Canis lupus familiaris: one gene and its partner. The protein of the gene in region 2 interacts with the protein of the main gene of each other region in a biochemical or structural test. Links are inferred from orthologs where the notes say so. Each region holds a gene or a part of one and is shown on either strand. Other genes may lie near its edges. The genes, in order: FBLN5 and LOXL1.

Evidence for each region.
Region 1: the proteins of LOXL1 (region 2) and FBLN5 form a complex in vitro, tested with the Homo sapiens proteins (2 studies listed by BioGRID and IntAct). The link is inferred for Canis lupus familiaris from reciprocal best matches to the Homo sapiens genes LOXL1 and FBLN5.

Annotation. Positions count from the first base shown.
Region 1 is NC_049229.1:1,286,185-1,289,983, forward strand, and holds part of FBLN5 (fibulin-5), read right to left. Parts: intron 1,524-3,799; coding exon 1,269-1,523; intron 1-1,268. UniProt on the Homo sapiens protein: Essential for elastic fiber formation, is involved in the assembly of continuous elastin (ELN) polymer and promotes the interaction of microfibrils and ELN. Stabilizes and organizes elastic fibers in the skin, lung and vasculature.
Region 2 is NC_049251.1:37,620,719-37,625,206, reverse strand, and holds the start of LOXL1 (lysyl oxidase homolog 1), read right to left. Parts: upstream 3,035-4,488; coding exon 2,770-3,034; intron 2,670-2,769; coding exon 1,383-2,669; intron 1-1,382. UniProt on the Homo sapiens protein: Catalyzes the oxidative deamination of lysine and hydroxylysine residues in collagen and elastin, resulting in the formation of covalent cross-linkages, and the stabilization of collagen and elastin fibers.

The DNA of each region.
Region 1 (3,799 bases), on a different chromosome or scaffold from region 2:
CCTGCCTCACCCCTCCTTTTCACTCTCTTCCTCCTCTGCCTCTCTCTCTCTCTCTCTCTCTCACACACACACACACACACACACACACACACTCACACACCCCATGTCCCTCGCAACCCCTAAGAATGGAGAAGTTCTCCCCTCGCAACTCTGCAGGCTACTTGTTTGCATACTATTTGCATGGATCCAGATGGCAATGTGACACTCGTTTGCATGAACGTATAGAAGACGTCATGAAATAATCAACCCAGCCTCTCTAACAGCTCAATGCTTCAGAGCCCTGAAATGGGACCAACAAAAAAAAAAAATCTCACTAGGTACACCAGTGGTCTCCAGACCTTTGAGGACATCAGAAGGAAGTATCAGAGCTTCAAGGCACATTTATTTCTATCACATCTTCTAAAATGTTCTATTTTTGAATGGATGCATTACACTCCTCAAACCATATTAGCATAACAGGATATGTATGTAATTTATAAATATGTCTATAATGGGGCTTCAGGCTCAAAATGATCTTGGATATGGGGTGCATATGATAAAAAAAAAAAGTCCATCATAGCTCTAGTCCATCTGCCAAAGTTAGAAATAGTTACAAAGGTTTTAGTCCAACCATCAAAGCAACCAAGAGAGGATCCCAGGTAACCCTCTGCCAAGGCCCACCCTGTCCCACAGATACCAAAGCTCACTAGGGCACCAGTCAAACAGCTTGCCAACCCCCTGGGGGCCTCACAGCCTCTGGTGTCGCCTTCTTCCCAGAGGTCTACTCCTGCTGTGAATTACCATCAGTGAGGCTCACATTTTAGCCAAAAGAACATTGGCACCCACCCAAGGAACCCACTCTCTTTCCAGAACAATTGGCCGTGGCCTTCAGGACTTTTTATTTCAAGAGTATACATTCCATTCGAGGGTGAGGAGTGTTGCAGAGAAACTGCTGGTCCTTTCTAGATCTTCTCTTTGGGATTTACTCAGTGAAACCAGAAGCATTTTTTATCAAACAGAAAAAATATAAACTTCGTCTTTAAATAGATAGATGACAGAGAGACAGACTGACAGATGAAAATGAAGAAAAATTGGCTCTCTGGATGAAGAACCCTCACGTACATCAATCCAAGCTACTCCCAGCTGGGAGGGTTCCCAGAGACACGGGCTGCTAAACGTGAAGGAACTTCATAGAAAGTAAGAAGTCACTGTTTCGTGAGTGAAGACTTCACTGTGGCGGGATTAGGACTTGACCAGAGCACAGAAGCCGGAGATGCCAGGCTACTCACCCACACACTGGTTGCTCTCATCCATCTGGTATCCAAAGCGGCATATGAGAGGCCTCGAAATGGTGGGGTAGTTTGGAGCTGATAGTGGTGGGGCCGCTGCTGGGTACGGACCCGTGTATGGGTTTGAGTAGGGGTTCGAGTAGGGCCCTCGGTACACTGGGTTTGTCCGGGGGATGCATAAATACCCGCCGTTTTGGTTAACACACATCATGTCTCCTCGGCAGGCCTCAGGGATGGTCCGGCATTCATCAATATCTGGAAGGGCCACGGAAAGGATGAGTGTTAGCGGCTCCCTGCCCATGCCCTACGTGCTGCATATTTAAGCCAAAGACCCCAAGACCTCTTCACTACCACATGCTCCCAGACGCTGAGGAGAGTCCCTGGTTCATCACTGCAGGGACTCTCACATGCTGGCTAAATGGGATCACACTGACCAGCGTCACCTGAGCATCAGCCATTAGAGACCACATCACCATTTGGGGGCCGTATCCACAAAACATTATCACCCCCATTTGAAGCCCAAGTAAAAACACTATCAATTAACATGAATAGAAGGAAAAACAGGAAAAAGGAATCTATAAATACTAAACTAGAGGATCTCTCTGTGAGTAACACCTCAGAGGCCCCCCTGTGCCCCTGGGAAACATGGGGACAGACCTAATCATTACTCCCACCTCTACTCCAAATAACAGCTGGGCACGGGAGACAGCCGCTTGCACGCAGGAAGACGTCCGGCCTGGCTGAGAGCTAGCCACCTATTAGCAAAGTGGAGGCTTCCTTGCAGGTCAGCTCACACTGAGCCCACAACAGGCCCATTTCCAGACAGGCTAATGTTCTGCTCATCATGCCAGGAGCAGGAGGCAGGTTCCTGAGAAAATCGGCCCTGCAAGGATGGGGCAGGGGACCCCTGGGCTCTGGCTCCAGCATAGCAGCCTACTATCTGAGCCTACCCGCTGGGCCCTGTCGCAGCCTTGGGGTCACTCCACAGGGGCCAGCGCCTGGGGGACACATGTCGGAAGCCCGATGGCTCACCCCAAGCAGCCCCTCCAAAGAAATGCACACGAAGGCCCACCAGGAAAGGGAAATGCTGAGGCTCAGGTGCCCCATCTGCAGCCGTAAGCCTGAGGCCCTCCAGAAGGCCGGTGGGACAGAAAACAATGGCCCGCTGCCCCCCTCTCTGCCCCTGGCGCACCCCCGTCTCCCAGTGCCTCTAATCAAAGTGCACACCCAGGTTTTCCACAGCAGGGTTGTGTTGTTCCTCACCACTCATCACTTTTGGGAACCATGTGTCTCTCCTCTGGGTCTTAGCTGACGTGAGCTCCAGGAAGACACAGCCCCTGGCTTCCATCAAATATAATCAAAAAGCTAAATACACCCCCCAGGTGGGAGCAAGTGGGGCTGCCTTATTGTCCTGGTAGAGGAGCTATGCTCCAGCCACAGCAAACTATTCTGTACTCGCAGTGTCCTTTCCACCCCGGTCTTCACTTCTGCTGTTTCTTCCACTTGGGATGCCATTTCTCAGGATCCTACTCATCCCTCAGTTCTCAATTCAGGGGCACCTGAGTGGCTCAGGACATGACTCCGGGGTCCGGGGATCCAGGACCTCCCTCTGCCTATGTCTCTGCCTATGTTTCTCATCTGATAAATAAAACATTAAAAAAAATACTAGATTCAAATGTGGCCTCCATGAAGGCTTTTTTTATTGACCCCTGACATAAGACATCACTGCCTCCCCTACTTCTGTAGGGCCCATGGCTCTGGCCTTAACTTGGCAATGATTGTTATTCCAGCACATACGGTGTTCTCTCTGTCCAGGTCTACCTTTTCCACCAGATGACGTACTAGGAGAATAGCCCCCAAATGTCAGTCCTCATCCTCGGAACTGGTGGCAGCATCAGGCTACTCAGTAAAGGAAAATGAGGTAGCAGGTGGAATTTAAGCTGCTACCCGGCTGACCTTGAGATGTGGGGGGATTACATGAGTGGGCCCAGTGTCATCACAGAAGTCCTTAAAAGCAGAAGAAGAGGCAAGAAGGGTCAGTCAGAGAGATGTGACAACGGGAAAAGAAGAGATCCAGAGCCTGTGAGGGACTTAACCCACAGTGGTGGCTCTGAAGATGGAGGAGGGGACCACGAGGCAGGGGATGAGGAGGGAAAGACCTCTACTGACAGCCAGCAAGGACCTGGGGGCTCCAGTCCTGCAACTGTGGGAAATGCCACGGGAATGCAAACTGGTGCAGCCACTACAGAGAGGGATCTGGAGGTTTCTCAAAAAGTTAAAAATAGGACCACCATATGGTCCAGCAATCCCAATTTTGGGTACTTATCTGAAGGAAATGAGAGCAGAACCTCAAAGAGACACCTGCACTCCCATGCTCCCTGCAGGGCAGTTCACAAGAGCCAAGACGTGGAAGCCACCAACGTGTACATCAGCAGAGGAATGGATAAGGTGGGTGAAGATGTGTTTATATCAAGGTACACACGCACACACACATATTCATACACATGCACACTCAGTGGGCATTTTCAGCC
Region 2 (4,488 bases):
TAGAGACAAGGCAGCAGTTCCTGAGCGGACACACAGGCAGAGGAGCAAAGGCTGGGGGTGCTGTGCCTGTACCCCCTGGGCCCTGCCGGGCTCAGCCCTCACCTGGTACGCCTGGCACAGCAACCTTGGCGTGGAGCACAGAACTGGGGCAGTGACTGCAGCCCGAAGGGGTCAACGGAAAACCCTGATCGAAGCTGACTTTGGACTTGCAATAGCCACCTAGCCTTGGCCAGGCCACTCGGGGGCCCTCAGTGCGGAAGCCTGTCTGCCACAGCATGTGTGGAGCTGTCCACCGGAGGAAAGCTGCCGCTTCACGGGGTTGTCCCTTCACGGGCTTCTCCCGTACGGATGGCTTGGGCCTTCCCAAGACCAGGTCACAGTTTTGCATCCATCCCCACCCTCTCCCCCGCTGAAAATGAAAACGCCAGAGGGAGGCCGTCTCCAGCTCCCTCCTGGGGCTCTCCCGGGAGCAGCTGAGCTGAGCGAGAGGAGAGGAGCGAGCTGAGCTGAGCTGAGCGAGGTATGGGCCTGGGCACCCAAACATAAAAAATAATAATAATAATAATAAAATAAAAACCAGTAGCCAAGAGAAGTAGTATCTGCAGCAACACTTTTTAAAACTCAGAATCGGTGGCCAGAAAAATCTGTGACGGAACAAAATAATCAACATTTCAAATAAGTACAGGATCAGTCCGCCTCTGGCTCCCGCACCGCTCGGCGGGGCTCGGTTACTAATTGTGCTTGAAAGCGGGATACTACTCTGTTCATCACAGGTTTTTCTTAGACGTTTGCATGACTTTTGACCCAAGAGGCATTAGCATGTCACTTTCCTTGATCCCTGAGCTTTTTTTGACATCCGCCTTAAATTTTGCGCCCGGGGTCGGTGCCTCGCTCGCTAGCTTGGCCAGCCTGGCCCTGGCAGTGTCCCCCCTGCTCCCCGAGGGAAGTCCTGTTGTTCAGTCTGGACTGCGGCCTGGGCCACGAGGTGCCCCCCTGACCTCCTGCGCGTCGCGGGCCAAGCTCACAGATGCTAGGGGCTGGGATTTTGCTGCACGTCCAGGGGCATCCCCCCGGGAGGCCTTAGCGCACCCACCCCGAGCGAGACCCAGCTTTCCCCCTGCCAGGCTGGCGCTGCGGAGGGGGGTGGGCGGGGGGCGGGTGGCAGATGCCCCCCTACTCCGTTGAAACAAGGGAGGGGGGCAGGCAGGGGAGGGGGAGAGCGTCCTTCCCTTTGTCCCCAGCTGACCCCCACCTGCAGGTGCAGGGGCCTCCTCCCGCCAAGCCCGGCCAGGTGCCGCCTCTAGGGGTGCGCGCGGGCCTGGGGGCCCCGGAGGCCGCGGGGGCGCGGGGGCACGGGGGGGGGGTCCCGGGCGGGTACTCACCGCGGCCGCTCGGGCTGGGCCGGTACACGCTGCCCACGCTGAGGCGCCCCTGCTGCGCGCCGGCCCGCTCGGCCCCGGGCGGGGGCGCGTCCGAGCTGCGCAGCGGCAGGTAGGGCGGCTCCGGCGCGCGGAAGGGCGGCTGCGGCTCGGCGTGGGCGTAGGGCGGGAGCCAGGCGAGGCGCGGCGCGGCGGGGCCCGCGTCGGGGGCGGCGAGCTCGGGGCCGGCGGCCTCGTGGTACAGGCTGTGCGCGTAGCGGCGGTCCAGGCCGTCGGGCGCGGGCGCGGGCGGCGGGGGCGCGTAGGGCCGCTCCGCGCCGGGGTAGAAGGTCTGCGGCGGGAGCTCGGGGGGCTCCTCGCCGCCGCCGCCGTAGTCCTCGTAGCGCGGCCGCGGCGGGAACGGGTAGGCGCCCCCCGCGGAGACCGAGGCCGAGGCCGCCGCCGCCGCCAGCGCGCCCCCCGCGCCGCCGCGGTAGTACACGTAGCCCTGGTCGTAGCTGCGCGACCCGGGGTCGTAGGCCTCGTACTGGCCGACGAAGGGCGCCTGCGGCGGGGGGAACGGCTGCGGGAAGGAGGGCTGCTGGCGGTAGGTGGCGGCGAAGGCCGAGGCCGCCACGGACGAGCCCGCGCCCGCGCCCCCGCCCCCGTGGCGCGGCGGGGACACGGCCGTGCGCACCCGCGCCAGCCCCGCGCCGTCCCCGACCGCCACCTCGCGCCAGTTGTCGGGCACCTGGCCGAAGCCGAAGGGGTGGCGCGCCTGGCCGCGCACCGTGTCGGAGCCCGCGCGCCCGGGCAGGGGCTGCAGGGGCTGCAGGGGCTGCAGGGGGTGCGCGGGGAGCGCGGGGAGCGGCGGGGCCTGCCTGCGCCGGAGGCCTCCGGGGCCGCGCCGCGCCGGGGCCTGGGGGGCGCCGGCCAGCAGCAGCCGCGAGCTACCGTCGGGGCGCGGCGGCCCGGGCGCCACGTACTCGGAGCCCGAGTTGAGCAGGCTGTACACCTGCCCGTTGTTCTCCCAGCGGATCAGCTGCCGCCAGCGCCCCGCGGCCGCGCCCTGCCCGGGCCGCGCCTCCTGCCCGCGCGCCAGGGCGCAGAGGCAGGCGCCCCACAGCAGGGCCCGCAGCCCGCCGCCCGCGCCCGCGCCCGCGCCCGCGCCCGCACCCATGGCGGCCCCTCGGCACAGCCCCCGCGGCGCGGCGCGCGCTCCTCTGCCCGCGGCCTCCACGACGGCTCGGCGCTCCGCCCGCCGCGGCTCTAGCTGAGTCCATGCCGGCCGGGCCCCGCGCGGCGCGGCTCCTCCGGGGACGGCATGGCGAGGCCGCGGGCGGGGCGGGGCGGGGCGGGGCGGGGCGGCGCCCGGGGCGCGGGGCTCTCGGCGGGAGAGGGGTCCCCGCACCTGCCGCCCGCGCCGCGGGAACGAGCCGGGGCCGGGCGCGCCGGGAGGCCTGGAGGCCGGGAGGCCGCCCGCCGGGGCCTCCTCCGCGCGGCCCTACGGCCCGCCGGCTTCGGGCCCGGCTCCCGCCGCCCCAGCGAGCGCGCAGCCAAGCCGCAGACCTGCCTCCGGGGAAGGCGGTGAAGCGGGGGGGGGGGGGCGGGGGGGGGGCGGGAGGCCTCGCGCGGGGCCCTGGCAGGCGGAGCCGCGTCGACAGCCCTGGGACCATTTCCCCCAGCCTTGGGCTCAGCATCCCTGGGCTCGCGCACTGGCTTCTCCGGCCCTGAAGGAGCCCCTAACCCCTGTTCACTCCCGCCGCCCCCCCCCTCCCAGGACTCCCCGAGCGCCCCTTCCCCGAAGCCAGCCCTAAGAGACCCCCCTTCTTGTTGATGGGGACATGCCGAATCCCCCCTCCCCCTGAATCTGGACCCCAGTTCCTTAGGCCTGAGCACAAAGGGGCTGGAGCTGGAGCGTCAGCTTTTCCCCCCTCCTGGCACACCTCTTGGCCTTCCTCTCCTGATGGGTCTCCTTGGGGACATGCCGAATCCCCCCTCCCCCTGATTCTGGACCCCAGTTCCTTAGGCCTGCGCACAAAGGGGCTGGAGTGTCAGCCTTTCCCCCCTCCCCGCACACCTCTTGGCCTTCCTCTCCTGGTCTGTAGAACGGGGTGTAGAACGGGGTGTGCCCCTGTGCCCAACAGAACTTGTGAAGTCACGGGAGAGGTCAGTTTCTCATACATTGCATCGCATGGTTTCTGTTCTCTCTCTCTCTCTCTCTCTCATCAACATAGCCTGGCAATAATCTGAGGGTGCCTGTGGGTAAAATGCGACCCAGGGGCTGTCTTTGATGGAGCAGAGGAGGCCTCGAGTGCTGAGGGAACAGCAGGAAGGGGGGTTCCGGAGAGCCAGGCCTGGTCCTGTTGTTGTGATGAAGTCCCTGGGGGTGGGTGGGGGGTCTTGGGCAAGGCCCTTCTCCGTTCTGATCCAGTTGCCACATCTGATCAATGGGGGATTCGGGCAGATGGTCCCCAAGAGTGCTTTGAGAGTTTCTCTGTCTTCTCCGAGGACAGCGGGGATAGGAGGGGTGCCAGAAGTTTGAACCTTGGCACCCAAGGAGTCACCCTCTGACTGCCTCCCCTGGGCTGCCTTCCCCAGCCTCACTCATGCGTGAACTGGAGGGCAAATATTTCCCTCCTGTGCTTCTACATCACGTAGGAAGAACTTGTCCTTCACTTGGCCTCTGCAGATTCCCCTCTGCTTTGGAGACTCCTGGAGCCCACCTGGGAGAAGCAAACCAGAGTGGACATTCCTCGGGGACCCTGGAGCCCTGGCCCTCACCCTTGCCAGCTGGCATTTGTTCACCCATTGCACTGTGCCTGGGGTGAGGCTCCATTCAGCGGACTCCTGCCGGCAACCCTTCAACACAGGCCCCTCAGTTACCTCATGTGGGGTTAAGTTTCGGACCCCAGGTGGGACTCCGGCCAGGAGTCACCCGTTTGGCTCCTACAAGGAGCCAGAGTAAGAGCCAGGCTCACTGGGGGCCGGGACCTGGAGGGTTAAGCCTTCGAGGCCTCCTGCCTGCCCCCTGCAGTGCGGGCCCCAGCTGCTTGGAATCCCTGGTGTCCCGTAGGGCCCTCCAACCAGCCAGATGGGCAGCAGCGCCAGGAGAGGAGGAGGAGAAGTG